2 linked regions of the Alligator mississippiensis genome follow. The protein of the gene in region 1 purifies or fractionates together with the protein of each later gene. This does not show direct contact. Links are inferred from orthologs where the notes say so. Each region holds a gene or a part of one and is shown on either strand. Other genes may lie near its edges. The genes, in order: SS18 and BICRA.

Region 1 (15,152 bases):
CATCCCAGGTCAACACGAGGTGGAGGAGCAGTGGCTGCCACTGCCAGGAGGAGACCCCGGCTGGTCTGAGGGGGCAGGTGGTCACCCAGCCCGGGTGCGGGCAAACGCAGGGCCAGCTCCCCCTCAGCCCCGGGGCAGGAGCGGGGTCTCGCAGAGCACAGCTGGGGCAGGCAGGGGGCTCCGCCTGCACCCTCCCCGCCTGGGGGGCACTCACGGCGGTGGAGCCCTTCTTCACCGCCTCCTGGGCGTACTCCACTTGGAAGAGGTGCCCGTCCGGGGAGAACACGGTGATGGCGCGATCGTAGCGGGCCGCCATGCTCTTCCCAGCCCTGCCCAGCCGAGCCGGCACGTGGTGCGGCAGGGGCGGGGCGGGGCAGGGCGGGGCGGGGCCCGGCCGTGGCCGCATCGGCCCCTCCCCTTGTCCCGGGGGTCCTGCTCACAGCACTGGGCGCGCGGCGGGCGTGGGCTGCGCGCCGCAGCCTCACGCGTGCGCCATCACTGAGCGTGTGCGCGCGTATAGGTATGCGTGTATATAGAATGCAGTCAGGTTGTAGCCGTGTCGGGCTAGAGGAAGAGGCAATTAGGACTCGTAGTAGAGATGATATCTTTTTTTAAAAATGAAATTAAAAAAATATTTTTTTTGCAAAAAGCTTGAAGGGCTAATAAAAGATATCATCTCTACTACAAGTCCTGATTGCCTTTATAGAATGCCATGTCGTCTGTTGATAGATGTGTCAGACATCTATATGGCATTGTGTTATGATGTGATAAATACACGAGTGTGTTTAGGTATTGCTGTGTATAGATGCATTCAGGTGGAGATGCTCAGAGACCCGTGTATGTTACAGGGGTGTTGGCTGCAGCCGTGTTGGTCTCAGGATGCAGCCAGACAAGATTCTTTGGGTCAATCCGATCTCTTTTATTAGACCAGCTCAAATTTGGTCCTACAAATTTGAGCTGGTCTAATAAAAGAGATCAGATTAACCCAAAGAACCTTGTCTGTAAGTATGTTAGAGATTTTAGATACAGGGCAGGCTTTCCCAAACTCTTTTCAAGTATAGTAATGCTAATAACACTGGGTATAATAAATCACATATTATCGTGTGTGTATATGTATGTATACAGACAAGGTTCCTTGGGTGAATTTGATATCTTTTATTAGACCAACCCAAATAGTTGGAGAATAGTTATTAAGCAAGCTTTCAAGTTCAAAAACCCTTCGTCAGGCTAAGGAAGCTTCAGCAGTTGGTGTGTGCTCTTCCTGGATGGAATGAAAAGTGAAGAAGCCAGGGGCTGGGCTGGGGAGTCAGTTGCCAGGAAGATTATAATGTATCAAAAATCCAATGTCTGTGTTTAGTCCATGATCTCCAGTATCCAGGAGGTTGATGAAATGGAGCTCATAGGCTCGTCTCTGGGAAGTGTTGTGTAAGTTTCCCTTGAGGATCAGGACTGAGAGATTGGAGAGAGAGTGGCCCTCCTGTGAGAAATGTGCCCCCACCGGTAATTGGGTGTTTCTGTCTTTGATGGATTTCCGGTGTGCGTTCATTCTGGTGCACAGTTGTTGTTTGGTCTCTCCTACGTATTTTCCATCAGGGCATTTAGTGCATTGGATGAGATGCACACACACACATACGTACATACATACACATATGTATAGATGTGTGTGTGTTTATACATACCTACAGTAGTGTAAGAGTGATGTATCTGAAATGGTCCAGAAATCATGCAAGGCAAGGATTTCTTAGGGTGGTATCTTTTATTGGACCAATGACAGATGATAGATACATATGTGTATCTATCATATATGTATAGATGTGTATGTATACACACACATCTATACATATGTATAGTTATATATTTTATCATATATCACATATGTATTATAGGATTAGTGTGTGTGTGTGTGTGTGTGTGTGTGTGTGTATATATATATATATATATATATAATGTATGGTATGTGTGACACACACACACACACTAATTTATTATTTATTTATATATATAAACCTCCAATAAGCATTTGGATTCACCGGATGCATATATATGTACGTATGTATGTATGTATATATGTATCCGGTGAATCCAAATGCTTCCAATTCCAAGATTATCTGAACATTTTAAATACATAAATCACATGGGACATAAAGGATCTTAAGGAGTGGAAAATAATAAATAAATGTTCCTCATAAAGACTGCTTTACCTTTGAAAGCTTAAGTCTATCTCAGCCATGTGGCTGGTCCAATAAGAGTTTATCATCCACAGAAATCCTGGCTTCTCACATAATTCCTGGACCATCACAGCTACCACATCACTCCACTACTACTAAATACACATTGGAGGTTTTAGTTACAGAGCAGATTTTCTCAAACTCTTTTCAAGTATAGTAATACTCATAAAGCATATTTGTAGGAGTTCAGTGTATTGTTGCTTTCCTTGCCACTCAGGTCCCATAGAAAAAAAACTGCACCACTGATGATAACACTGACAAAAACATTGAGGTGATTTATTTTTGTATTTCGTGCTCCTGTGTTTCATTGCATGTTTTCATTTAACAGCAAAAGAAATAATCTTGAAGATGTGCTAATGAAATACACAGTGACTCTGAGTTGGTACTATATATAGAAATTAAGTTTTATCACAAAAGAACATATGGTAAAAATGTCCATGATATTGCACTTCTGAGATTAGAAAAAGCAATGTAAAGGTAATATGAACAAAGGAAGTGAACTGAAAAGTAGAAAGCCAAAAGGATGCACATGTTAGAGTTAGAGTTAAACTGGGAAATCAAATCAGACTGAGAATGGGAGAAGGAAGAAGAGGGATCTGCAAAGGTGGTGTGGACTTCTGTGGCTGATGCTGTGTCTAGTACCATTACTACCTATCTGTAGGGATTGCTGACGGTCCTTTTTTCCCCTCAGGTAAGGACCAGGTTGGCTGATTTCTATTGTGATTCTTGGGAGGGCTCTGCTGCTTCAGTGCTATGCTTCCTGCGCTGCCCTCCAGCCAAACTTTTGGGGTTTCAATACAGTGTACTAGTTTGCAGTGAATGCTTTATGGGATGTCTCTCACATTATGCCTTATAATACATAACACCATAGTATGCTAAATTCAAATACAAGAAACAATAGCATGCTTGTTCCACTCTTATCCCATGATTATGTTTATCCTCTATTTTCAGCTATAGGTCTAAATTATGTTGGGCCACAAACCCCTGCAGGAAAGTCTCTTCACCACAATCCTATTGCCTTTCAGAGGAGCAGGCAAGTCACCAACATCTTTGCTATTTTTGCTACAGGAATGCTTGGTAGTAGATGGCATCCCTTATGTGTCTTTTCTGATTTGTTACTGACGCTCACAAGTGAAGTCACTGCACTGTAGTACTTTCCCTGTGTGTTGTGAAATAAAATGTTAATCTCTAGGAATTCTTATATAATGTTCAGCTCTAAGGAGGATTACATCAGACGTTCTTATGTTATTCTTTATTTATAGCATACATTCCTACTAGTTTGAGATTCCCTTTTGAAGAATAAAATCAGGACTCTGAAAGATTTTCTCTCTGCAATGGTGCTGTTTGCTCCCATTAATGCTGACTGTTCAACATGGCATGCATTTTTTATTCTAAATATTAACACTTGCAACTAACACGACAGATACTATAGTAAAAATTTAGCATCACAGGGATTTTTTCTGGTTTTGTTATAGTCTCCCTGGAAGACGATAGAGCCACCAATACCATTGTAATGTGCAATAGTATTTGGCTTGTTCATTTTATATCAGAACACATAGGTTCATATTTTAAGCATTGCTCTTTATTAATATTCTACACAAATGTCAAAGCAAAACATAAATGTCAAAATGGAAAGAACTAGGCAAAAAGAAACTAGCCAATGAATACAATAAATTCAAGACAACTTTCTACTCCTGATATAATCCCTTTTACCGTGTAAAAAGCACCAAAAGAGTTGCACCAAATCACAATCAAAGGGCATTTCCCCCCAGTCAGGTTGTGTTTCTTCATTGCGTATATTGTTAACAAACAAATGTTTAGAAACACAGTTTGGACTATGTTAAAAAACCCACCCCTTCAAATAGGCAGAACTCAAAGTGCTGGCCCTGCATTGCAACTGAATTCACTGACACAGCAAACAGTTCCAGGATCAGGCTTACAGCAGTCAGTGAAAACTTGGGGAGAAACTATGCCAAAATTAATCTTTCTTCTTTTTTGGATTTTCCTTCACAGCTATCAAATTTTGATTCCTGTCACTCCCTTAGAACTGGCTGCTGCTGTTTTGTGCTCATGCTGTTAATTTAAAATATTCTGTTTTCTTTTTTTCATGTCAAGATGAGAAAACAGTCTTACCTGGCAAGGGCTTCAAATACACTAACTTTTCTAAATTAACCAGAGCTAATAAACCCAAAGTATCAAAACAAGCTCTTAAAGATACTCTGCTTGCTTCTCACCCATCCAAGGTAAATGTACAATAAGCACTGCACATTGTCAGCAATATATCCAGGCTTTTACTGGGGAGTCATGATAAACACACAGTTTGTTAGAGTCCTTCTAAAGTTTATAATGGATATTGGAACCTTCTATCAAAAAGGTAAAAGCAGGTGGAGGCACCCTGAAACTTTCCCGTTTTTTATTTCTTTTTTGCCTGGCAGTTTTGAAAACGGTAGTGTTACAATGTCTAGCCAGCAACTCTGTGCCTGCTTGGTCATGAAGTAGATTTTTTCTTCATCCCTCTTCTTGCCTGGCTTTTCTAATTCAGATAATTTTGTTCAAATAAAGCTGACACAGAGACAGTGGACTTAGTCAAGAGCTAGGCAGCAGGATACATTTTTCAGTACTATTACAAGATCTCAGTAGGAAACAATCCATAGGTTTCTTCATATGTAAAGTGAAGAAAGATTTCTTCAAAAGTAAAGTAGTCTCAATTAAATGAGTTTTGGTCCTGTCCTGAAGGGGCTAAAATTCCTCACTTGCCATTAACTCAATCCCAATAGGTAGTTTTTTCAGGAGGTCATATGTACTATTCTGCCAAGGTTAGCTTCACAGACAATTTCTCCTTGCTATTTGTCATCTTGGAAATAGAGTAACGGACAGAAAAAAAAAGATGTGAAAACATCAAAATCCTTCATAACAATAAGGAGGCTATACTTTTCAAAGTGAGGTGAGCAGAGGTGGGAGAAACAACTGAATAAAATATACTCACGTTTTAAACTCTTGGTGGTGATCTAGATTTACACATCCAAATTACAATTAAATAATGCTAAGGTGGTAACTAACTCACACTAGAAAAGAAATGTGCAATTAAGGAGAAAATATGCCATATGTCCTTCAATATCTAGGCATATTGTAGTACATTAAGAAAGTCATAAAGAAGACACCCTGTTGTGGTTATGTGTTCTGAGACATGTGGCACATTTTCATTGTAGCTATTTATTTTCTTGCTTGTGTGATCTTGTGCTATTATTTAAATGTAGGCTTTGAGTGTGAATGTTCTTTTCTATGCTAAAACAGTCCTGCAGTATCTTGCCTATATTTTCATTGAGTTTAGTTACTGTTAATGAATATGGAATCCTTACAACTTTACATTATAATATGAAAACAAAAGATTGCTAAGGAAAGGATAATAATAATAGTACTGTAACTGTGTGAGGAAGGCAAAGGAGAGGAACTAGAGAGGTAAAGTTAATGCAGATAACATGGTGATAAGTAAAATATTAAATACAGTAAGTGAAACATCCTAGGCAAATGTGTAGTGAATCTTCTTGCACTATCCTACCTCCCTAGAATGACCTGGACTGAAAGGATTGGACCAAAGGCAATTCTAGTACAGCCAGCCAGCCAGATGAGCATCAGGTCAACTGAGGATACTAATTCAGAGGCCTGGCAAAGGAAATGCCATTCTGAGAGCAGAGAGAACCATAGCCGGCATGAAAGAAGTGAGGATATTGGGTGAATACAATAGTAACTTCCAACAGCACACAGACCCAGTAGCAGTGCAGTTGTAGTGTGGCATTGAGCATGTGCCAGGGCTCATAGCCTACTTGGGGTTTGGGAGGTAGTGGGTAGATCTAGGATTTTGAAAAGGGAGGTGCACATTGTGAGGTGCATCATCACATGTAACAACCCATGTTTTTCTTCAGGTAAAAAGAACCTACAAGTTTTACTAATATGCTAGGGGCCAAGGGCTGTGATATTGTTTGAGGTTGATGTAAAAACAAGTATAACTTCATTGGAATGAGTTAAAAAGAGTCTGCAGGGCTGTGCAATAGGAGCTACATTCCTAGGAGCAGCAAACAGACAGCAGTGTTGTAGAACAAAGGTGAGCTTCATGGGTAGATCAAGGCAATTCAAAGGAGAGAGGGTAGTTTAGCACCAATGGGATGAAGAATTTGGAAGGAATCAGGTGGATACGAATGAGCAATGAAATCAATTGACACCTTTAGCATTGCCAGATGAGAAACGCTGTTGCTACTGCCAGCCTGTTGGTTTTAAACTTTGGGTGGAGCCAGGAATCAAAGTGGGGGCCAGGGGTGGTGTGTGCAGCGAAATGTTGCCAGGTGTATGATAATTATCATATTTGTATGAGTTTCAACCCCTGTATGATGTACAATCAATAATAGTAAAAGTGTTCACCCTGCAACATGTATGATGGCAGACAAGGTTCTTTGGTTAAATCTGATATATTAGACCAACTCAAATAGTTGGAAAAATTCTTAGCAAGCTTTCAGTCACACACACCCTTTGTCAGAATGAGGAAGCATCTTCAGATGGTCTGGTCTCTTCCTGGATGTAGTGGTAAAGCAGCAAGAGGCCAGTACCTATGCAAGAAAGCCATTCAGTTGGTACCCGAAAGCTTGCTAAGAAGATTTTTTTCCAAGTATTTAAGTTGGTTTGGTAAAAGATACTGGATTTACCAAAAAAACCTTGTCTGACTGTGTCCCTAGACCAACACAGCAACAACCTGAACCCCCAAAACGTATGCTAATTTTTGAGACAGCTTATTGCTGCAGCATATGCAAAACCCAAGTCACTGTCAGGGAGTCTTAAATGACTTCTGGGTTTGTTTGTTTTTGTAATTATATTTATTTATTTATATAAAGTTATATATATATATAAATCCTCTATCCATTACTTCTGGATTTGCTTCTAGTACTTTTGTATTACTACTTGTCTCAAAATAAAGAAATGTTTCAACTTTGATGACCCAGTTCTCACTCACTCACTGCAGATAATATAGTGAGCAATATAAAGTAAATAAGAAGACTTATTTGCATCTTTTTCAGCATACCATAGTTTTTCAGCAAATAGAATAATTTTGAACTTCCAGTATGATAATTTCATATTTAGGACTTGGCAACGCTCATGCAGCTACATCACTGCACCTGCCTGGATCTGGCCCTGGAGACAGTGCAGGCTGAGTAAGGCAAGCCTGTAGTGTCTCAGCCAGAGCCTGAGGCAGCGCCTGGGTCTCCCACTGTCTCTAGCAAACAGGAGCTGACTTCAAAGAACGTGGCAGCTTGGCACGTTTCTCCTCTTTGGCACCAGCCTCCTGGACCCAGGGCAGCCACCTGTGGCATGGCTGGAGAATGGGCATCTCTGCCGCAGACGGGGGAGGGAGCTGGAAGAGCAGGGGATGGAGCAGCAGCTGGCGCCAGTGAAGGGCAGGTTTGTGGGGCAGATGCCTCCTGCCCTCTCCCGCGTGGCACAGAACTGAAGCCCACGCGCGTCACAGACGCGTGAGGCTGAGGTTCGCTGGGAGCCCGGCGTGGGCTCTGCGCATGCGCCATCGGGCTCGGGCTCTGAGCAGTCAAAGGAGCGCGGAGCTGCGAGCGCGCCAGCAGGCCCCGCCCCCGCGTGCTCCCTGCCTGGGTGCAACCAAGTCGGAGGGAGGGGGGAGACATCGCGCCTTCCCTTGTCACATGAACATCCTGCCCCCCCCGGGCCGTACCACTTGCCGCCTACTCTGAGCCGGACGAGCGTCGGGTAGGAACGTACCACGTCCCAAGAGGAGAAGAGAGGCGAGGAGAGGAAATGGATCCACCAAAATAACGCACTTAAAAGCCGGCCTTCGGTACCCGCCTACCCCCGCGCGTAGCGGAGGAGCTGTGGCTTCGGGGCCTCCTCATAGGCTGCTTGCAGGGCGCGGAGGAGAGGCGTTACACTGCCGGGGTGTGCACTCACCCCCCTCCTTCGGGATGCGAATGGTGCGGCCCGACAGCCCGCCCCTCCCCCCGCTTGCCGTGGCGCTGAGCTCATGGGCCGGAGCTGCCGCCTCCCCCACCCCGCCCCCATCCGCCGGGCCTGGGGCCGCAGCTGCCCGCGGGGCCCGACATGTCGGTGGCGTTCGCGGCCCCGAGGCAGCGGGGGAAGGGCGAGATCACCCCAGCCGCCATCCAGAAGGTGAGGCGCGGTCGGGCGCTGCCCCCGGGGGCCCGCGGGTGGGCGGAGGTGGGCATAGCCGGGGCTCGGCCCGCGCCGCCCCGCCCCGCACTTTCCCGGCCTTTGTGCCGAGGGATAGGCTGTCCCGTCCGCCCGGCCCTGCCTCCGCTCCCCCCGGCGGGAAGGAGAGCCGCGCAGCTTCCCCGGCGGGCGGCTCAATGGGTACCGCGGCCCCTCTCCTCCGGGAACGTGTCCACTCCTTCTTTTGGGCATCTGGCTTCAAGCGTCGGCTTCCGCAGCACGCGGGGGCAGCAAGTTCGGCTCTCCAGGGACAGGCTGGGTGGAAAAAAAACTTAGTGTTTGTTTTTTGAACGGAAGACCTGCTGCTTTTGTGTTGTGGCCCCTCGTTCCTGCGTGAGGAGCCGTGTTTGCACGCCTCCTGCGCTAAGGTGGCGTGCCCCATGGCGCTGCAACGTCCTGCTTGAGAGTCATTGGTGCAAAACTTCCAGCAGTAGCCAAGCGCCTAATGAGCTCCATGGTATTGCCACCTCTCTTTGCCTTTCAGGGTAAATTTCAAGTTCAGTGGGAGGAGAAATTTTCTCCTGGAGATGCGTGTGGCTGGCTGTTATGACTTTCATTATTTTGGAGGGGTGCAAGTTGTAGCCGTATTGGTTTAAAGACATAGGCAGACAAGGTTTCTGTGGGCACATCTGATATCTTTTATTAGACCAACTGAAATAGTTGAAAAAAATGTTTCTTAGCAAGCTTCCGGGTTTAAACACCCGTCATCAGGCTGAGGAAGCACCTGCAGTTGGTGTGCACTCATTGAGAAACTTGTAAGAGTCCTTTTTGTGGATAAGTAGGAGCTGTGCTATTTCATGACAATAGCTTCTGACTAAAACATTAATACATGCGAACTCACAATCCCAAAGGCATATACAGTCTGGTAGAAAAATCATACCAGTTATGCCAACTATTAATAAAATGCTTCATAATTTCTGATTTTGTTTTTCAAAAGCACTTCGTGTTGAGGGCTACTTGTAAGTAAGTTTTTTAACTTTTTTTTTGCCTATATGTGTTGTTGTTCTTAAATCAACATTGCTTTCTAGTAGGGAAGAGGACTTTTTTTTTTTTTCATAGAGTTTCCAAAACAAGCATCTGAGCAAAGATCAAATGTGGAGTCTTTTGAAACATTAAAATAAGAAGACAATAGATGCTCAAATAGAAAATCTTTGGCAACTGTAACTTTAGTAGTGACTTGACACACAGCCCTAAAAATGGAAAGTGGGGAGAGAAGGATAAGAGGAGGGGAAAGTTCTACAGATGCAGTAGCAGACCCCTTTTATAAAAGCACTTTTTGAACAGTCATGTTGGTTAGGAAGTGGAAGTCAGTATCGCTTTTTCAGTTCCTTTTCAAAGAGTGTTTAAACTTATTCCATGTTTATGTTTTTGTTATTTCAGATGTTGGATGAAAATAACCATCTCATCCAGTGTATAATGGACTATCAGAATAAAGGGAAGACCTCAGAGTGCTCTCAGTAAGATGTTAATCTGACTGTATTTTTGTAATTAGTAAAATCAACGATGTAACTAAACTCCAGTGTGCTCACATCTTCCCATGAGAGAATTGTGCCAACTAGTTTGTAAAAACATTCCTAATGATGCTGTGTTCTTGATTTTTTTTTTTTAAATTTAGCTTATTAATATTTATTTTTTCTTTTTCAAAGCGACAGAAGTTCTATTTTAATTTGATTAGCATATGTTAGATGGAATAAAATGTGTAGAACCAAAAATATATAGATTCTTGCATATGTTTCAGTGTCTTAATCATATCTTGAAGAGAAGGGTTAGATTACTTGAAAAAATTGGGAAGAAACAAGAGTATGGAAGAGGAAACTTGAAATGGATCCAAAACTTTTACGCCCAACCAAATGTGACCTCTTCTTGCTATAAATGAATGCATAATGACAAGCCTGTTTTTGGCCAAGAAGAGTTGGTTATATTTCCATTTGGAATTAGTTAATTAATGTTAAGAAAGTACCAACACAAACCCCTTCATCTTAACTTTCTGCATTTACTTTGTGCTGCTTTCAAATGCTGCTTGATTGGAGAGTGACACTCAAACAACTCCTTCCTGCTGCTGTTGCTCGTTCTTTGAGTGCTGCCCCACTAAAAGATCGTGCTTGTATCTCTGCACATAAGGTTAACAGTAGTATTAGCAGGAATTTGGTGCTTTTAATTTTCAGTGTTTTAGGTTACTAGGGAAGCAGCATTTGTAGATTCATAGATTATAGTCTCGCAAGGGACCCAGTGGATCATCGTGTCTGACCCCCTGCCCCTGGCAGGAAAGAGGACCTAGGTCAGATGACCCCTGCCAGGTGATTGTTAAGCCTCCTCTTTAAGACCTCCAAGTTAGGTGACAGCACAACCTCTCTTGGAAGCCCATTCCAGACTCTGGCCACCCTTATTGTAAAAAATGTCTTCCTAATGTCTAACCTAAATCTACTCTCCGCTAGTTTGCACCTATTATTCCTGTTACTCCCTGAGGCGCTCTGGTAAACAACGCATTCCCAATTCCCTGCTGTCCTCTCCTGATAAATTTATAGGCGGCCACAAGGTCACCCCTCAGCCGTCTTTTGTATAGCCTGAAGAGATCCAGGTCTCTCAACAGAGCACTGAGGCATAATAGGACTTTGGTTGGATTTGCATTTTATAAGCTAAATGCGTGCATGCAGTAGCTGAAAATATCTCTACCAGATATTAATAGGTATATTTAATAATTCTCCCTGGTGTTCTCTGCACAGTCTTGTTTATGGGTTTCAGTAATTATAATGTTGGCTGGGTACTTAGCTTTAAATCACCTTTTCTTGCTTTCTGTTTGCCAGGGAAGGTGGGAATTTACAATAATCTTCAGTGGTTTATTGTCTCTCCTACTGCTGCTTAATTTTTGGCAGCCTAGATGCCTGGTCTGTGTTTCTTGGTTCCTTTTGCTCCTGAACTATAATCTAGATTCCAGGACCCTTAGTCACTTATTGCCTGGTTCTGTAGAAGTGTGTCAGAATCATGTATTATAACCCTATAAATTCTCTTCTATTTTGTGAAAAATACAAAGCAGGAGGTATTAAAGGCGGGGCTAGGGGGAGAGAAGTTCTAGAGAGAGAAAACAAAACAATGTTAGTTGTACCACGTGCAGCCATTTTGCAACAAAAAGATGCATTTTGTGGAAAGTGATTTTTGATAACCAAATTGCCCCAATTGGAATCACAAAGTCCATGTGGCTCCAAGTGTGAGTACTGTTTGCACACCTAAGTCACTGTTTCAGGCTCTTTGTAACCTTTAAATAGAGGCTTAAAAACTTGACTGCATGAACAATTATTGCTGATGGCAAGAGCCAGAGTGTAGAGCACTTCAGCAGCAACAGGGGGTAAATTGTGGCAAATCCTGATCATTTGCATATGATATCCCTGATCCTGATTTGCATGTAGGTATCATTTCTTGCTGCTGAGGCATGCAAATAAGAGAGAAATGAGTTCTATGCTAAGTAGTACCCATGCGTGTGTCTCCAGAGCATATGCCAGTATTGTGCTGAGGTATACTGTGCCTGACGGAGCTACCCTGTGTGAAGGAGGCTCACTATGTCTTCACACAGCACTGTAGATACCCAGTGGGTCAAGCGGTAACAATGCATATGCGTTTTTATGCAGCTTAGCTTCCTTTACTTACCTGGAGCAGAGACTTAAATGTAATCTTCCTCTGTTTCTGTTGTGCTAGAAGAATGCATAGAACATGTACAGGCATAACCTTTTTCTGAATTGTCAAAACATAGGTTAGTGGCAGAGATGGAAATGTGGAAAATGGGCGATTTCATAAAATAATTCCCAGGATCTTTTGAACCTTGATGGGAGTAGTGGAGTTACCATATAGTATCTACTGTATATGTAAACTTGGAGAACGTGAATGAAAAAGTTGTTGTCTCTTAGCTCCTTTTAAACCTGTCATGCTTTGTTTTGATAGGTATCAGCAGATGTTGCATACGAATTTGGTCTACCTAGCCACTATAGCAGACTCCAATCAAAATATGCAGTCTCTACTACCAGCAGTGAGTACCTTTTGCAGTAATATTAGAACTGAGACAGTCATCCATATGGAATTTTGATAGTATGAGAAAACAACAGGAGACTACACAAATTTTTGGATAAGGGAATCTCTTCATGTAGGTCCTTGGAGCCAGTAGCTCTCACTGCACAGCTTTTTTTTCCCCTATGTTTCTCTCTCAAGCCAAGTTAAAACTAGTCCTGTGGTTTAAAAATAGCATGCAGATGCCTTTGGCCTGACACAATGGAAAGCTCTCACCTCCTGAACTAAGGGTGTCCTTGGTGTGAAACTGTTCCACTGCTGCAGGTTTAGCCAGCTCCTGTAACAGTTTTCTGTCTTCTATATATGTGTGCTGAGTTGGGAGAAGTCATGGCCACAGAGTGACATTATGGCAACCTCAGTTGGCAAAAATTAATTTGGCCTCTAACTGGCTCTTGCGTAATTTCTGCATCATCAGTTTATGGCACTGTATTATGATAAAGAAGTCAAAGATAATTTGCACGGGCTCACCTTTGAGTTCTTGTTTGATCTTCAGTGCTTCAGTTTTAAAATCTTGATGTTGATTTGAAACTGGTTTTTAGTTGGAACTTTTGCGAATAGATATTCTTGCAACTCTCCTTAGGATATAAATTACCATCACCACCCCTTTTTTTATTTTCATAACCTGGTCATTTAGTGACTGTTGCTGTAATGTATGGGAAAGCAAAGAGAATGGTGAGGGATAATAGCTTCCACCTCTTTGCTTCCCTTGGTAACTTTATGTATAACAACATAGACCCAAACAAAAAAGTCTGTAATGTTGAATAACTCTAGGAAGTTCCTTATTTTTGGTAATGTAAGTTGAAATTTAACCAGCTGCTTCAACATGCTCTTTTTGACTTCTATGACAAGAGGTTATCACATCAGTTTTTAAACTAAAATTCTGGTGTCTCTGGAGAGCTCTGCTCTTATCAGGGGTGGAGCATTCTTTCACTGAGTACCTAGAGTAGTGGCTCTCAACTTCATTAGACTTGAGGCATCCTGCCAAAAATGTCAACTCCTATTTTTCACTAAGAAAGTGGTTTTTCTGTTGTGGGCCACACAGATTACAGGAGGTCAGAATGTATTTAGCACAATGGAGTCTTATTTGAAATATTTGGGTTTATCTTGTGAAATATGTTTGGACACCTAATAATGCTAACATTGCATAGCATCCTTGAAAGGATCTTAAGGCACCCTAGATTGCTACAGCACCCTGGTTAAGAATTGCCAACCAAAAGGACTATAGGAACATGGTCTTCTGTCCAAAGAAATCTACTTATTGGTGCTCTTTTTGAGCATTGCATAATATGCAATTAATTTATTTACCTCCTTTATTGTTTAGGTCTTCTGTAATTTATATCCTGGTCCTGATCATAAGTAGAGAGGAGTTTCATCTTGCTCTGGTCATTAGTGGGCAGTTCTTTATTTGCAGTTAAATCTGGAGGCAGTTCCTACTCAAGAAAAACAGTATTGGGATAAGATGAGTTTGAGCTGTGGTTCTCAAGTTATATAGGAAATCTTCCAGGAAATGTCAATTTCTTGCTAGTATCTTCTTTTTCTTCCCTACATTTATAAATAAGCTACATGCAGTATCTTATTAGCCTTTTTTCTTTTTGGGTTTTTTTTTTTTTTTTTTTTTAAATGAATTGCAACTCATGGTGTGGCTTTAAAGAAAAAAAAATGAAGCGGGCAGTTGTGTCCAAATGTGTGACATTCTGGCCAAATTTTCAAGTATCTGATTTATGTGGTAACTTGATCAGAGGATAGAAAATAGTTCACTGCATACTTAAAATCAGTGTTGAACACACAGTACTGTTTTTTCACACGTACAACATGTCCCTATATGTAGTATGCACTTTGTTTTTTGAGGGAATCTGACAGGAGGGGAAGAAAAAAGGTTCTTTATATGTAGTAAGTGAGTAGTACAGGGTTAGGTAATTATTTGGGCTGGAGGGCCACTTAAGGAGCTTTGGTGAGCTGTTGCCAGGATTGGAGATCCTCTCTGGGCCAGTCTGCTCTGCATACACCATTGGGGGTACCAGATTAAGTAGGTGGGGTCTCTACCAAGACTGGCCAGGACCCCTGTGGGCAAGGCACACTTGACTGGGCAGATGAGATGGGGCCACGGGCAGACAGTGACAGTGCAGAGCCAGGGCCTGGGGCAGAGCTGTGATCAACTCCATACATGTCTCTGCCTTTGGAACCAGTGACTGTCATAGAGCTGTACAAGGAACAAATTAGAGCCCTGCTCTGGGCCTGGCCTTGTGCTATCATTGCCCCACAGTCCTGGCCCCTACTGCCCATCTTGCTTTCAGGCACCGCACCCGGCGGCCCCAGCCCATCCTCCTGGCCGAGTGTGCCCTGCCCAGGTCAGTTTCCAGAAAGACACCGCCCACCTGCTCCATCCAGCACTCCCAGCTGTGGGTGCAGGGTGGATGGACTGGGGTGTACAGGCAGTGGGGCCGGATCTGGCGGTGGAGATGCTGGCACTGGCAGTCAGGCAGAGTGAGCTGCTGCTGCTGCAGGGGCTGCCATGCCGCCTCTGCTCCATGGCACAACTGGGGCGGCAGGACTGGCCTTGCATGTCATGGCCCAGGCTGCCCCCTGTGCCTAGGTTAGGTGGGGCCAAGGGACTTGCTGTGGGCT
Region 2 (14,956 bases), on another chromosome or scaffold:
GATTTCACAAAAAACTGCCTGAAGAGCGGGCTGGTCGTATCCTGTAGCACACTCTGCTTCTGAGTGTCCTGAAGGTTCAACTCCCCGTGGTTCTGCCACCGATAGTAATCAATATCGCATCCATGCCTCTTGGTTCGCCTAAAGGTTTCCTCAAAACTGCTGAGCGTCGTTTTACTTGACATTTCCCCTGGTGAATTAAAAGTCATGGGGGTGAATGATAAAGTGTCTGGACACTCGTATGCCTGTGCAAATGAGTCAAATGCATGAGAAGGCCCAGCAAACCCATCTGAAATGTCCTGACCCGAAATAGCACACACTGGCATGTTTCTAATCCACTGGAAGTTCCCGCTGCACTGAAGGGAGTTTGCCGAGATCTTCTGACTTCGAAATAACGGGAAACAAGGTAAAGCACTATTTGGCCAATACTCCTCCCCCGTCGTCTCAAGAGGGAACTGTGGTTCTGAAAGCAGGGGCCTATTGGTCAGGTTTGTTACTAGGCTCTCCCCTGGGGCGATCACAGATAAATTGCTGGGATTGATTATGGCATACACGCTGGAAGAGGCAGTACTCTTTTGACAAGGATGAGGCTCCTTCAACACGTCACCTGTAGTTTCAATATGGGCTGCAGTGCTAGCTGGGAGGCATAAAACCTGACCAGAGGAAGAGGAGCAAGGCTGCAGGGACTCCTTCAAGTCAGTGTCTGAATGCCCCGCAAAGGATACTGCAGTTGATGGAAGTTTCTGATTTACGACGCTGCTCACAATGTGCTTAAAGAGGTCTCTGTTGGGCACGACAGAATTAGGTCTGGATTCCAAGCGCCCGGCCAGCTTCTCCGTGGTTCCCACACCGCCTCGCTCTGCTTGGACACGGGCATCGCGAGAAGGTGGTGAGGCCTCGCAGGTACCTTCGTCGCTGGGCATCTCCTTCAAAATACGCAGGCCGTGCTGAGACATTTCGTAATGCCGGCGCAGCGAGCGGTGGTCACAGTAGCTCTTGTTGCAACCCTGTTCTATGCAAATAAACGGTTTGGTTTTCTGATGTGTTAGCATGTGTGCACTCCTGGGACAAAGAAACAAAAAGACAGGAGCTTCATATTAAAACTACTAACACAAATGCCGTCACTTCTGATCTAAACTATAGCAGCTCTTGCATTCTTTAAATCCTTCCTACCAAACTCAGCACTGAATGTCAAGTTCAGCTCTGTGCAAATCAAAAGATGCACAGGGATTAAATCAAGGTACAACTGACCTCTATTTGGAACAGGTCCACAGAGGTAGGCTGCTTTTCCACTCTAGAAAGCAGGACTAAGATTCCCACTCTCCATCACTAAGCTGGGCAGTCTATCGGTTTCTGAATCCCATTCTAAACTTACCTCTCCCCCTTTCCAAAATTCCCTAAAAAGGTGTTTTTCACCAGCCAGCCTCACAAACTCACCCAGGGCCCTGTGAGCCAAACTGCATGCTTCACACACTGCAGACTGAAAGTTGTCACGTGTGTCTTGCTCTACCCTGCTGTTTTCATATTATGCCTGTGAAAACCTACCCAAAGAAAAGGGTAACACTAAAGGCATTAACTGAAAAGAGAGGCAGAACTGATTACTTAACAGGGCTGGCAGGGATCCTCTTACTGTGTGAAATGGAAAGAACCCTGACTGTCAGCCCGGTCAAGCACACAGGCTTTGCAGAGGAAAAACATCTTGCAAGTTAAACAGATTTGGTATTGGAATCGCTACGAAGATATGCACACGGTACTCCACAATGCCATTTTTGAGGGAAGGAAATGCTTTAAAAAGATGCATACTAATACTGTATTGTCATATGGATTTGAAACCTCCAGCCACTCCGCTGGGATTGGCAATTGCATTGCTCTGATGAATCAGGCTTGCTATGTTCAGTCCCGGACCACTGCCACTAGACTTAGAAACCAGAATACACTGTTAAAGGGACAATACCTTAAGAACCACTGAAAATAAGAAGAAATACTGTCCAGCAGTTGAAAGGTCTGAGATTCAGGGTATCAAATGCATGGAGAGGTAGTTTTCAATCGCAGTGGTTCCTAAGATATTGGCTGCTAAAACGACACATGGGAATTCACTGTCCAGTACAAGTACTTTCAGAAGCCCAAGCTTCTCCCTGGACCACTGATCAGAAAGAAAAAATACACGCTTGTGATTGCTACTCTGCTGCGTGAGATTGTCGCTCCTTCTCGTTTTACGTTGGTATGAGGCCCCTCCTGCACCACTGTACTCTGGGAACACCAGAACTAACTTGCATCTGCTCTTGATATAGTTTTGAAGTATAATTTGACAGTTTGCTGGCCTGCACAACGCCAACAGCAGCATACCAAGCCCTGTACTTGTGTCAGCCACTAAGCTGCACTGAAATAAGAAAATGAGGTCCTACAGAAGTAGATACATTCTACATTTCTTTAAAAAGCAACTGAATGGGATTATATATTTTTTTTGTTGGTAAATGCCTACATACAGGTGATCCGGACGCTTAAAAGCCTTGCTGCAGACTTTACAGACGTGTTTCCTCTCCTGGCTGTGAGTCAGACAGTGTTTGCTAAGGGAACTAGCACTGCTGAACACCTTCCCACAGAAACTGCAATCCAGAAATGGGCTTTGAGGAGAGCTGTGCTGATGCTTTCCTTTCCTGGCACTACCAGTATTGGATCTGCCTCTTTGTTCAGCTTCTTTAGGTGCTGGAGGGGCAAGAAGCCCCAGCTCTAAACAAAGGGAGAAAGTTACACTCATTAGGTCACACATGGTACAATATAAATGAACCTCACACCATGAATGTATTAATTTAACTTAGCCAAGTTGAAATACTTTTCTTTTAAATTCTCGCTTACCTTTTAGTTGGGAGCCTTGGTTACAGACTGAGATTCTCAGTATGAGCATTACATACCCAAGCTCTTGTTGTACATGGTCATTAGAGTCATATTAGGGGGCTGGACCCGATGATCTTGCGAGGTCCCCTCCCGCCCTAGTGTCTATGAAAATCCCCAGCACAGCCCTACCAAAATCCTTTGGACCAACAATTCCCACTGCTGTTCCAGTCCTGAGTTTTCCACACACAGCTCTGTCCTGACCTGCTACAACCTTTGCATCTTAGTCATCGCTCACAACAATGCTTGGCGGTTTCAGTTCTAAACAATGTGACAAATTCTGCCAAAATACTTTCCCTCTTTTGGATAAGCAGGGGTAAATAAGTTTAAAAAAAATGGTCTAGGGGCTAGGGCACAAGACTTGAAGAGAAGCTGGGGGCACTGGGCTTATTTAGTCTGCAGAAGAGAAGACCAAGGGGGATTGAATAGCAGCCTTCACTTCCCTGCAGGGGGGCTGCAAAGAGGATGGAGCTGGGCTGTTCTCAGTGGGGGCAGATGACAGGACAAGGAGTAATGGGCTCAGGCTGCAGCAAGGGAAGTTGAGGTTGGATATTAGGACGAACTGTTCCCCTAGGAGGGCACTACAGCACTGGAGCAGGCTACCCAGAGAGGTGGTGGACTCTCCATCCTTGGAGGTTTTGAAGACCCAGGTAGTCAAAGCCCTGGCTGGGATGATGTAGTCGGGGCTGGTCCTGCTTGGAGCAGGGGGTTGTGGACTAGATGACTCCTGAGGTCATTTTCTATGATTCTGAATAAGATACTGCTGAAGAATACTACACTTGAGACCTAATCAGAATTTAAACCGAGTCCATCAGATAGCCAACTAGTTAAAAATCTACTGAGCAATTTAAATAAAGGTTTATCAAGATACTCTCAGATTCACTAGCTATGAAACAGAACAAGAAAAGACAAAGCTAGATGCATTACAATTTTCACTATCATGTTGCCTAATCAGTAGAAACATCAGCACCAAAAGTTCTCAGGAAATATGTAACAAAACGTATATATTTTAGCACTACCAGTTGTGTCAGTCTCTTCTGTTTTCAAAATCATCTGTATGATCGCACATCCACATCTGCAATGATGCTACCCTGATCTTTAAAGAATAACATTTCACTATGGGCAGTCTCCTTTTTTAACTTTTAACTGCGGAACTGGAGAAAGCCAATTCTGCCAAACCTATTTCACAGAGAGCTTGAAATGCAAGAACAAATAAGCAGAATGTCTCTTCTATGCTTCAGGGAAAGCTAATAATGTAGATGTTAGCAACAGATTCAGCAGATCTGTCATTTTAATGTCTTTATATTTTCCATTTGCAGCTGGAGAGCAGGTTGTAAGGACTCCGAACAGAACATATTCCTATCCAGGGCGCAGTTTTAAGGAAGCGGAACAGAAGGGGAAGCATGACTATCACTCTGTAGTATTTTAACAATTATTAATTATTGTCTATATAGCACTATAAAAATTCATGGCAATTCACAGGTCAAGTAAAGACAGCAGGCAACATTTTTACAAGTGCCTATGTGATGTAGGAGCCTAGGATTCATTTTCAGAAAAATCATTTGAAAAAAGGTCTTTTGAGGTCCTAAATCACTTTCGAAAAATGTACCCCACGTCCTGCCCCAGAGATTATCGCTTAATGCACTCTAGCTTTGAAAATAAACTTCTGGGTATGCTGAACTGTAAAAAAAGACCCCCTGCCATAACCCTGCAAAACTATAACCCAAAGAAACTCCGACGTACTTACCATGCAAAGAAGGCTGAGAGTCAGAGTCAGACTCATTAAGGAGTTTAGCTGAATCACAGTCCTTCACTGAATACAAAGAGAGTGCATCTAAATTGTCCTCTAAAGTGTCCATAGCTATATCTGTGGCTGAAGGACTAGGATCCATATCTAAGCTGTTCAGGCCAGCATACATCATGTCTCTCATGTCTGAACACAAATCATGGTTGAGAGGGTCACTGCAGTTCAGTCTTTGACTCTCTGAAAATCCAGGAAGCTGCATGTGATACGGATCCATGTCCACCCACCTTCCGAGGTTTATTTGGAAAATTGGCTCTGGTTTCTAGTGGACACGGCTTAAAGACTGCATCGGAGTGTAGCAAGCCTCCTAAACAAAAGGTAACAGGGAAAAGTTAAACAGCAGAGATGAACTGATAACATTTAAAATAATCAAAGTGGTATCAGTAACAATAAATTAACACACATGTAAACCAGCCCTTATCGGAAAGGACTCAGAATAAATACTTCTGGTTTGCATTTTAGATACAAACGTGTGTTCAGATTGCAGCTATTAATCCTAGCAGTGAGGCCAAGCAAAAAGGCACCTTGTGTGCATGATTAAAAATTAAATAGCACCGTGTGTATGGGAAAGTCTGTGACCCAAATACGTTTGAAGTTATCTAAAGTTTCTTAGAACCGTCTAGCCCTCCAAAAAGTTCTGATTCTCCCTTATTTCAACAGGGCCCGAAGACATCTAATGCCACTGTTCCCAATGACAGCTCTGTAAGTATAGCGTAACATACTTGGAAAAAAAATATCCGATGAGGGACAGGGTCTGCACTGAGGTTTAATTTAATGCACTCTGCATTGTGCATCTATGCAGAACAGAAGGTACCCATCTCAGAGGTGAGATTCCCACAACTACCAACACAAGATTATTTACTGCTCTATCTCTTCCCTCGTAGCACCTGCGCTCAACACAAGTTTTCGGCAAACAAGTTAAAATTTTACACGAGGTGGAAAAACAGTGACACCTGGGATTACTTTGTTATACGTTAGTCTTTTTAGATACAGGTACTGAGTTAGATACGTCAGATATCCTTCCTTTGTTCCCCACTCCCATAGCTTGAAAAATATTTAAAATTTCTTTCCCGGTTTTTTTATATTTTCCATTGAAATGTGAATAAAAACAATCTACACAATGCATTTTTCTTAGAATTACATTCTTCTTCCTCCACCCAGAAGTTTTTAAATGGAGGGGGGAAAAAAACCTGGAAAAGTGATTTTAAGTTCTTTCAGGTAATGAAGCCACAAAACTATTTAAAAAGTGTCCAACTATTCCATGAGTCTGGCAAATCTCTTTTAAATCAATTGCAATTTTTGCCTAAAAAAAAACAGCAGGAACAGGGCAAAGCCATCAAGATAATTATTCATACAGACAAGTCAGGGATACCCACGTTCCCAAACACGAGGGAGAAATAACTTGTTGGAAAGTACCTCTCAATGCAGTTCTAATCACCCCCCCCTCCCCAAACTTAAACACATGCTTAGCATTATATTCATTATTCCCATCAGCTGCAATAAAACTATTCATTATGCATAACGCTAATCACAGACAGATGTTTTCACAGGATTGGGGCCTCAGTACGCCAGGAGCCAAAGAACTGCACCTCATTTTTAAATGAAGGGACCAATCATGCAACTGTTTACATAGGCTGGACTCATTTAGACTCAAGCTCGATCATATTTATTATTCAAATTAACAAACAGGCTCGGTTCTAACGCTCGGTTAACATTTGAATCTGCTCTGCAAGATGAAAAGTCCACTGCCAGCATTCCCCCCAAATCTAAACCTGATGCTGGCCAATGCTGTCTTCCCATAATTACGACACCTTAGGTGGCTGTGGGACATGTTTCAGACCTCTTCAACCCGCAGGTCGCATATTTAGGACTCTCAAGGGCTGTGCTTTGTAGTGCCGAGCTAAAAAGAAGAGAATATCAATTATACACAGCATTTCCTTTAATCCAGCCTTTATAAAAAAAAATAACATGGAGCGGTGAGGAAATGGAACAGCCTTGAAACTCAGCGCGCCACACTACGATGGCTTGAGACGCCAACATCTTACAGGGAACCGGGGACTAATTTATTATCGTGGTCGGATGCGCTCAAATTCTAGGTGCACAGGTCTGCGCTGCACCGGCTGTTTTAGCACGGAGAGATGCGAGAGGTAGCCGACACGGCATAAGGGCAAGCTGACGTGGAAGCTCTAAAGCGAGATGAAGGAACGAAAGTCTCCGTGCTAGGCCACGGAGGAGGAAGAGGCGAATCCGGCGGCTCTCGACCTCTTTAGACCCAAAGCAAACCTGGGAAAACAACAACTCCGAGCTTCCGCTCGTTTCTCGAGCGCAGAAAAATAAGAGCAATTCTCTCGCAAAGCATGGGGAAGACTGCAACGGAGCAGACGCTTCTCCTGTTTGATGCTCGGAAGTCTCTGCATCCCTCCGCTCGTACTGCGCGGCACTCTTCAGAGGAGCTCACATCCCCCCCCCCCGTTGAGTAGACCTGGACCCCAGTGCAAGGGAGTGGGGGGCACTGCTCTTGCCCCAGGCGGGGCCAGTGGCTCTGGTTGTATCCCGACCGAGGGCAAGAGGCTGCTGCCCTTATTTACCCCCTTCTTCCCCCTCCTGCATATTTACTCCTGCCCCGATGGGGGAAGAGGGGCCGTTCCCTGACCAGGTGCAGGGTTGTCCCTGCTCCTGCCCTTGCTGGAACGGGAATTTGCCCCACCCCTGCTAGAGGGTTGCTCCTGCCCCTACTGGGGGAGATATTTGCCCTTGTCAGTGGGTTGCTCTTGCCCTTGTTAAGGTAGATATTTGCCCAGCCCCTAATGAGGGTTTGCTCCTGCCCCTTCTGGGGTAGATAGTTGCCCCTGCCGAAGGGTTACTCTTACCCCTAGAGGGGTAGATATTTGCTTCAGCCCTTGCTCTTGCTGGGGTAGATATTTGCCCCTGCTGGGCAGCTGCTCTTACCCCAGTGGGATAGATATTTGCCCCAACCGCTGCTGGGATGTTGCTCTTGCCCTGCTGGGGTAGATCATGGCCCCTACCACTGCTGGGGTACATTATTTGCCCCTGCCCCTAACAGGGGACTGCTCTTACCCCTGCTGGGGGGGTGCTATCACCCGAATGGGGTAGATAATTGCTCCTGCCAGGGTATTTGCCCCTGCAGGAGGGTTGCTTTGCCCCAGTGTGGTAGATAATTACTCCTGCCCCAGCTGGGGTTGGTATTTGCCCCTGCTGGAGAGCTGCTATTGCCCCAATGGGGTAGATAATTGCACCTGCCCCAGCTAGAGGTTGCTCCTGGCCCTGCCCCAGGCCCTGCTGGAGGGTTGCTCCTGCCCCTGCTGGAGCAGATATTTGCCCAAGACCCTGCTGGGTGGGTAACACCTGCCCCGGCCCCCCCCGCCCTCGGGGCGCTGCCAGCCGCGGGGGTCGCCCCCACCCCGGGCCCGGATGGCGGCGGATGCTGCGGCCCTACCCGTCGCCTCGCGCCGCCGCCCGCGCACGCGGTCCAGCCCCGCCCGCAGGAACGCCGCGCATGCGCACCAGCGCGCGCGCAGCCTCCGGGCCAGAAGGGGAGGAGCCTCCTGGGTCACGTGACGCCTAGGCGGGAAAAGGGAAGGGGGAGGCGACGGGGCGGCGCCATGTTGTGGGCGGGGAAGACGAGGGCGCGAAAGTGGGGGGGGGGAGGAGCAATGCTGGGGGGTGTGGGGGCATAGAGGGGGATCACTGGGGTGCACGTTTCTGCTGTGGGAGGGCTGAGGGGGCCACAGGTGTGGTAGATGTTGGAGGAGCCTGGGGCAATGCTACACTGGGGGGGGGTGGACACCAGGGGCAGCGTTGTAGGAGGGGTGGGAGAAAGGGGGCACTGTTATGGGAGGGGTGGGGAACATGGTGGGAGGACGTAGGGGTCACTTCTGTGATGGATGGGGTGGGGGACATGGCACTGCTGCAGGAGATGTCAGGGGGGTCGCTGGACAGTGGTGGGCTGTGGGAGGGGAGTTGAATTGGGGATACAAGGTATAGGGGAGAAAGGGTATGAGCAGGGGAGGGGGAAAGGGGGGTGAAATAAGGGACAGAGGGAAGGAGATGAGCTGTGCAGTAGGAAGGCAGCCATGCGAGGAAGGTGTGATGGGGAGCTGCAAACAGGAGAGGTGTGTGGGGGCTTAGTGGGCACTGCAAGGGAAGACCTTAGGAAAGAGGCTTGGAGAGGCGTGTGTTTGGAGCGAGAGAGGGCAACAGCACGAGGGGGTCATGGAGCAGGAAGCAGGTGTGAAGAAGGGGGAGCGAGGAAGAGTTCTAGGGAGAGGAATGAAAACAACAATGGGGACCAGGGAAGTGCAACGGGTTGGGGAGACGGGCAGGGATTAACAGTTGAGCTAAAGGAGGGGCAGGAAGGGACTCCTCCCCACCCTGCAGAAGATAAAATTGAACTTGGTTGTGAACCGAACGCCTTGCCAAGACGATAGCGGTGCACAGACCAGCACAAAAATACCCAGATATGATCAACGTATGCTTCCTTAGTGGGAACGAGCCGTGCCAGTTGTAAAACATGGTTTTTAGTGGCTTGGCTGGTCCAATTGAGGAATCCGCACTGTGGCGATGCTGCTGGCGTTTGCAAGTGAGGATTCCCGTGCCCATCGTGATATGAGAAGGTGCTTTGTTTCGGGAGGTGACATGAGAGACACCACTACCTTCATTAGGTGTGTACAGCTTTGCAAAGTGGGTCACTGGATCAGAATAATAATGCATGCCTCTGCTGGGTATGTCAATGCGAAGAATGAGCGCTAATGTCTGTTTGCAAGATCAGCATTGCTTCCCTTTGGGAGAAAAAAAATCCAGTCCAAATCTCTCTCTCTTTTTGCCTATTCAGCACTCTTCTTCAAGTTGCATTTGAAGAAACAGCCTTTATCAGGAGGGTGGTGAACTATGTGTGCGTTGCCTCATGAGTCAAAAATGATTTTTATGTTGGTATTTGGCATCAGATATTTGGTAAAAACTTGATGTGCATCTGATTAGCTCTTCAAACATTACATTTCTTTTGTGGTGAACTTTCCATCTTAAAACACTCCGATATCATCCAGAGAGATGTGAGTTTATGTTGTTCACCTTGATGTTGTGTTAATTTTATTTCATTCATGTTTTGAATGTGGTTCATGATCTGTTAAACCAGCAAAGGTTAACTGTTCAGTGCCTGACCAGAAAAGCAAATCAATGCACTGTTTATAGTAGGACTTCCTGCATTCAACTAGTCAATTATTTCCAGCTTCTACTCTTATAGCCTTATGCCCACAAAATGTGAAGAGTGACACTTGCTACTATTCATGATAAATGAGTAACTAGAAGGAAGGACTAACATGTCAAGACTGAAAGACGGGCATGGAGTCTACACACACAGTTTAATTAGCATAAGTGTAAATTCATATATCAAGAGCAGGTTGATCTGTAGGCAGGTAGCTCTTCATAGTTGCATCAGTTAGCATGAGACATTGAAGAAGTCCTGGGGTATAGGACTGGCAGCTCCCTGAACTGAGGGTACCTTCATCTTCCCATCTGCATTCAGGTAATCAAACTCAAAGCCAAGGGCTGAACATAGTTCAGGGAGAAAACAGATGGCAGCTGACTGCAGGAGCCAGACAGGGAGCTCTGGAAATACAAGATGCACCTACATATGCTGTTTTTATTGTTTGATTTGGTGTTTAAAGCCTGCTCATCTGCATACATGAAGACTTAGCCTATTTTATTACAGCTTGCACCAAAAAAAAATCCTTAATAAACCTAGCATACAAAAAAATCCCTCTAATTAAATTAATTTCCTTTCCTCTGCTGAACACAATTATGTAATTTAAATACATCTCAGTCATTAAGTTTCCCATTTAGGATAGAAACTGAATTAAAAAAAAAAAGTTAAATTTGTTTTCACTGTCAAGTTAGAAATTGGGTCAAGCATCTCTCTCTAGCATGAACTCAAGTTGGGCATTAAGTTGGCCCCATATATATTTTAAACTCTTTTTTTTTCTCTGATAGAAATAATTGCTCCTTGCCTCAGTTTCTCCATTTGTAGTAGGGGAATTATACTGATGTACAACACAGGGCAGCTGTGAGGCTTAATGAAATCGTGTTTGTAAAATGCCTGTACTTCAAAGCCTTCAAATCTAGCTTAAAGTCATTGTAATTATGGTATTGTAGTCTAAATGTAATTGTATTGTAATTATTTATATGCATGTCTGTAATAAGTACCTCCAGGCTGTTTTGGGGACCATTCTCCTCTTTCCTATGATTGAGTTATTTAATAACGTTATTCTAAAGAACTGATCCGATTTTCAACCTGGTAAATCTGGTAGAATATCCCCTGTCCTGGAATATGTTCTAGGCCATTACTGCTCCCTGAGTAGTAATAACGTTCTAACTGTACCAATGAAAAAACTCTATTATCAGTGTTACAGCCCTGGTCCTGCTGAGAGAGCAGTCATCTGGAGTCACCTGTATCGCCGTAAAATAACTCAGAAGAGAAAAGACAGAGGGAAAAAGATCACAGAACTGAACGTAAGTAGTCTACAGTGCTTTTAAAACTATGCTGTTGCAGCAGCTGCCTCCTGTTACCATAGTTCAGTAATTAAAGCAGAAGCCATTTACAGCTAGGGAATTTGTTTTAAAAATTAAGGGCCAGCCTTCATATGAGAAGCCCTCACTGATGTAAATAGCACCATAAAACCAGGGTTTGAAATGGCTGAGATCTGCAGCAGCATCATTACCAAAAAAAAAAATTAACCTTGTTTATTTAAAATGGAACAAATAACATTCATGTTTTTTTAGGACATTTTTATTCACGTGTTTACACAATGTTTTAGAGTGAGTTTCAGGCCATCTAAACTTGAAAACTGGAAGCTTCATAGAATTCCTGACTGATCCTTTGCTATTTTATTAGCAGCAAGAATGAGTCTGCTTTAATAAATTGAATATATAATGCTTATATAAATCCTTTAATCCAGAAATCTGAAATTGTTTTACAAACACGGATCAGAGTTGCATCTTGCAAAGCAGCCCCAAGTTACTTTATCCATTTGAGAGCTGGGTAAGCCAAGGCAGAGGGACGCTGGTTCGGCACTGCAATACATCTCGTGCAGACATTAACAACATCGTGAAGTGGGTGTAAAATCCCACTGCTATGATTCAATACCATTTTTCACCCATCTAGCTCAAGAGACACAGCAGCAGTGAGTTGGTCCCAGAAAAATTCTGTGTGACACTGTAATTAATTATGTTTAATGGGCTAGATCTTTGGCTCCATTGATATTAGTGGGGTTGTAAACATTAGGTTAATTAAGTTTTATTTAGTCTTTGTAATGCTGCTTGAGGTCTTAAGTCAGAAGGAGGCCTGGTAACTTAGTCGTTGGAGCACAGGATTGGGATGGCTCTGTCACGGGTCTGCTGGTGGTATGTCAGTTTGCCAAGCTGTGCAAAACAAATAAGGACCCTGCCTTATTTGTGAAGTGCTTTGAGGTCTGGCTGTTGATAAGCACTATACAGGAACTAGCTGCCTCTTATCATCCTCTTCTCTGCAAAGTGCTAAGTATTATTTAACCTGCCTCTCTGCTCTGGTTTTGAAGGGTGGATTCCATGGGCCAGATTTTCTGCTGCTATCAAGGAGCAATGGTGCATTCAGGTCAGTGGGGCTGCATCCACTTACAAGAATAAAAAACATTACCTTAACAGGTGTGCCTAGATGAGTGCGGACGCTTGGTTCTTTGGGGACAAGTAGCAAACCATGTGCCCGAGGAACGTCCATGCCAGATGTACTCTGCACACGGCAGGTTACCCCAGGTGGGGTAGCGGAGGCTGGGGCCAACAACTGCTGGTTCTTGCAGCCTTACCTGGGGTCCTCCCATAGCTGCAGCTGCAGCAGGGAGCATGGCTCCAGTGGCCAGCCATGCTCTGGCACATGCTGCCACCACGTGAACCGCTCTGCCTTTTTTCAGCGTGGGTTTTTTTTGATCCCAAGATCTTCCAGGGTCAACCCCTTCCCACCCCCACACACACTACAAGGTAGCAGCGTGGGAAACACCTGCACATGCAGCGTGTGGCGCCTCAGATGGATCTACAGAACCGCGTGCCACACATCCATGCTCATGTGGATGCAGCCCAGCTAGTCCACTATTTGAAATAACTAAGGTCACTATCTAAGGTGCCCCAACAGTCTCAGCAGCCTCAGGATTGACTCGACTAGTCCAAATAGTAGACTTTTGCAATGGGGAACCCTCTTGCCACTCGTAATTTATATTTTTCTTTCTTTTGGTCTCTGGAAAAGAAAAGGGGGAAGCGCCTGTTAAGTTAGGGAAATGAGATGCAATTGGAAAAAAACCTTTCTTTACCAAAAAAAAAAAAGAAAAAATCAATATCAGCTTCTTCCCATTTGGAAACATGCCCTGCTCCCGAAGAGCTCGGTTAAGGGTAGCATCCTTTCAAGAAAAGAAGCCAGTTTTAGCAATCCTGCCCCTCTGGGTTAGTCTAATTAGCAATACTTGTGGCTTCCTGCCAGGACCTTTTAGTAAAAGATAGACTTCATTGGATTTATTCAGCTTTCCGCCTTCGGGTGGAAGAGCTGAAATAAAAATGGAAAAAGAAGAACCCAGTTCACGTGTGATTAAGGGTGTGCTTCATTGCGTTCAAAAGCCATCAAGCGATTCAGATTGCACCGTAATGTAGCTAAGAAGAGGAAACACCATGTTTCACCCTCGTTTCCCTTTCTCCACCCTTTTTTTTTTTAGTAATGAGTATTGCTCCAATCGGTTTGCCTTCCAAATTAGCGTAGACATCTTGCAACAGAAGCCGTCAGTTAGTCTCCCACGGTGGTTTGGCAAGGCTGCTCGCGGGGCCTTTTCTCAGTGCTACAAAGCCCGTCCTCTCTCCTCCTCCTGTGCAACTGTCACCGCACTCGGTTCACCCTGTACTTTTATAGCGTAACGCACCAAAATATAACCCACTCCCACTCCTAGCCCCACCCAGGCCTAAACAGAATGTATATCTAATTCAAATCCAGCCAATGGAAGGGTATAAACAAAACCGAGAGCCCTGCCTCTCAGAGATTAATTATTCACGCCGGTCAATCACATTTAACCTGTCTAATCAGGCTGCCGGCTGATGCGTCTAGCCCTTCCCCTTACTTTCCGAGCTGCTCCACTTTTGGCCAATCCAGAGCGGGCCGCCTTTCCCTGGCAGAACCAGTTTATAATTGGTATGCCGAGGACCTTTGCGTGAGCTGTGCTTTGTGCTGCCTGAACACGGAGCCGGTTCGAAATTGCGTCTGAAAGTACAGTGGGAGGGCAAAGCTGCTGGCTCACGTTGGGCACTCTCTCGTGCCTCTCATTCAAGCCAGCCAGAAAATTTTGCTGCCTGCTTTTGCTCCCCTGCTCAGCCGCCAAAACAATATTATAAATAAATACAATCTTGTGAAAGGACAGGCTGCTTTTCAGCAGTTCGAGCTGGGCCCAGCCCCGCAAACTTTTTATTGCCCTATCTTCTGTACCTGATCTTGCTGGATATGCCCCGTCCTCAGCCAGTATGTGAAACCCGACGGCTACGTGATTAATTTAGTCGCAGAAGTGCTAGAAATCCTGTTTTCAGTCAGCTTGGCTGTACAGTATAAGGATGACTAACACTGTTGGTTAAAACAATGGACTATGGGGGCAGGTCAAAATCACCACAAAAAGCAGTGTTCTGTTCCGTGCCTAGAAATCTTTCTGATATCTGACCCACGAAAGGTCTTTGGGGAATCCAGAGTCACAACTGCAGGTGCTGTTTTCCTCCCAGTTAACCTGCTTCCTCCACAATTAGAGCAGTATCTCCCTCTGAACCCACTAAAGCCACAATCCCACTAACACCTAGAGACATGCTTAATTTAGGCGGCGTAAGTTAAAAACGGCCTTGTTTCCAGAATCAGTTCAGGGATGATTTACGAGACAAGAGTATGAATATAGAAACTGTTGGTAAGCGGTACCCACCGCTGGTCGCAATCCTGCCTCTTCTCCAGGATTTATTCTAGATTTTTTTGCTGAGCCAAGATTTAGCGTGGCAGGAACGACCTGGTGAAACTTCTCTTCTGAAAGGATGATTCATAATTACCAGAAATCCAGAAAAAAAATTAAAGGGGAGGAAGTAGACGTTATTACAGACTAATATTTAAAGATGTAAATAAACCTTCCAATGTACGTGCCCTTACTGTGAACTTCTTTTGGTTTTACAAAGAAGTAGGCTGTACTGTCTGGTGGATTGTTCTATTTTAAT

Evidence for each region.
Region 2: the proteins of SS18 (region 1) and BICRA purify together in Homo sapiens (affinity purification with mass spectrometry; 3 studies listed by BioGRID and IntAct, counting the BioPlex papers as one, with this or other methods). This does not show direct contact. The link is inferred for Alligator mississippiensis from reciprocal best matches to the Homo sapiens genes SS18 and BICRA.

Annotation. Positions count from the first base shown.
Region 1 is NC_081826.1:85,080,368-85,095,519, forward strand, and holds the start of SS18 (protein SSXT), read left to right. Parts: upstream 1-8,261; 5' UTR 8,262-8,342; coding exon 8,343-8,411; intron 8,412-8,619; exon of another isoform or gene 8,620-8,916; coding exon of another isoform or gene 8,917-8,928; intron 8,929-9,851; coding exon 9,852-9,928; intron 9,929-12,404; coding exon 12,405-12,489; intron 12,490-15,152. Other genes in the region: PSMA8 (proteasome subunit alpha-type 8), read right to left, coding at 215-316. UniProt on the Homo sapiens protein: Appears to function synergistically with RBM14 as a transcriptional coactivator. Isoform 1 and isoform 2 function in nuclear receptor coactivation. Isoform 1 and isoform 2 function in general transcriptional coactivation.
Region 2 is NC_081838.1:1,744,412-1,759,367, reverse strand, and holds the start of BICRA (BRD4-interacting chromatin-remodeling complex-associated protein), read left to right. Parts: upstream 1-8,760; 5' UTR 8,761-9,375; intron 9,376-11,110; 5' UTR 11,111-11,218; intron 11,219-12,282; 5' UTR 12,283-12,338; intron 12,339-14,956. Other genes in the region: ZNF541 (zinc finger protein 541), read right to left, coding at 1-1,059, 2,484-2,727, 4,637-4,910. UniProt on the Homo sapiens protein: Component of SWI/SNF chromatin remodeling subcomplex GBAF that carries out key enzymatic activities, changing chromatin structure by altering DNA-histone contacts within a nucleosome in an ATP-dependent manner.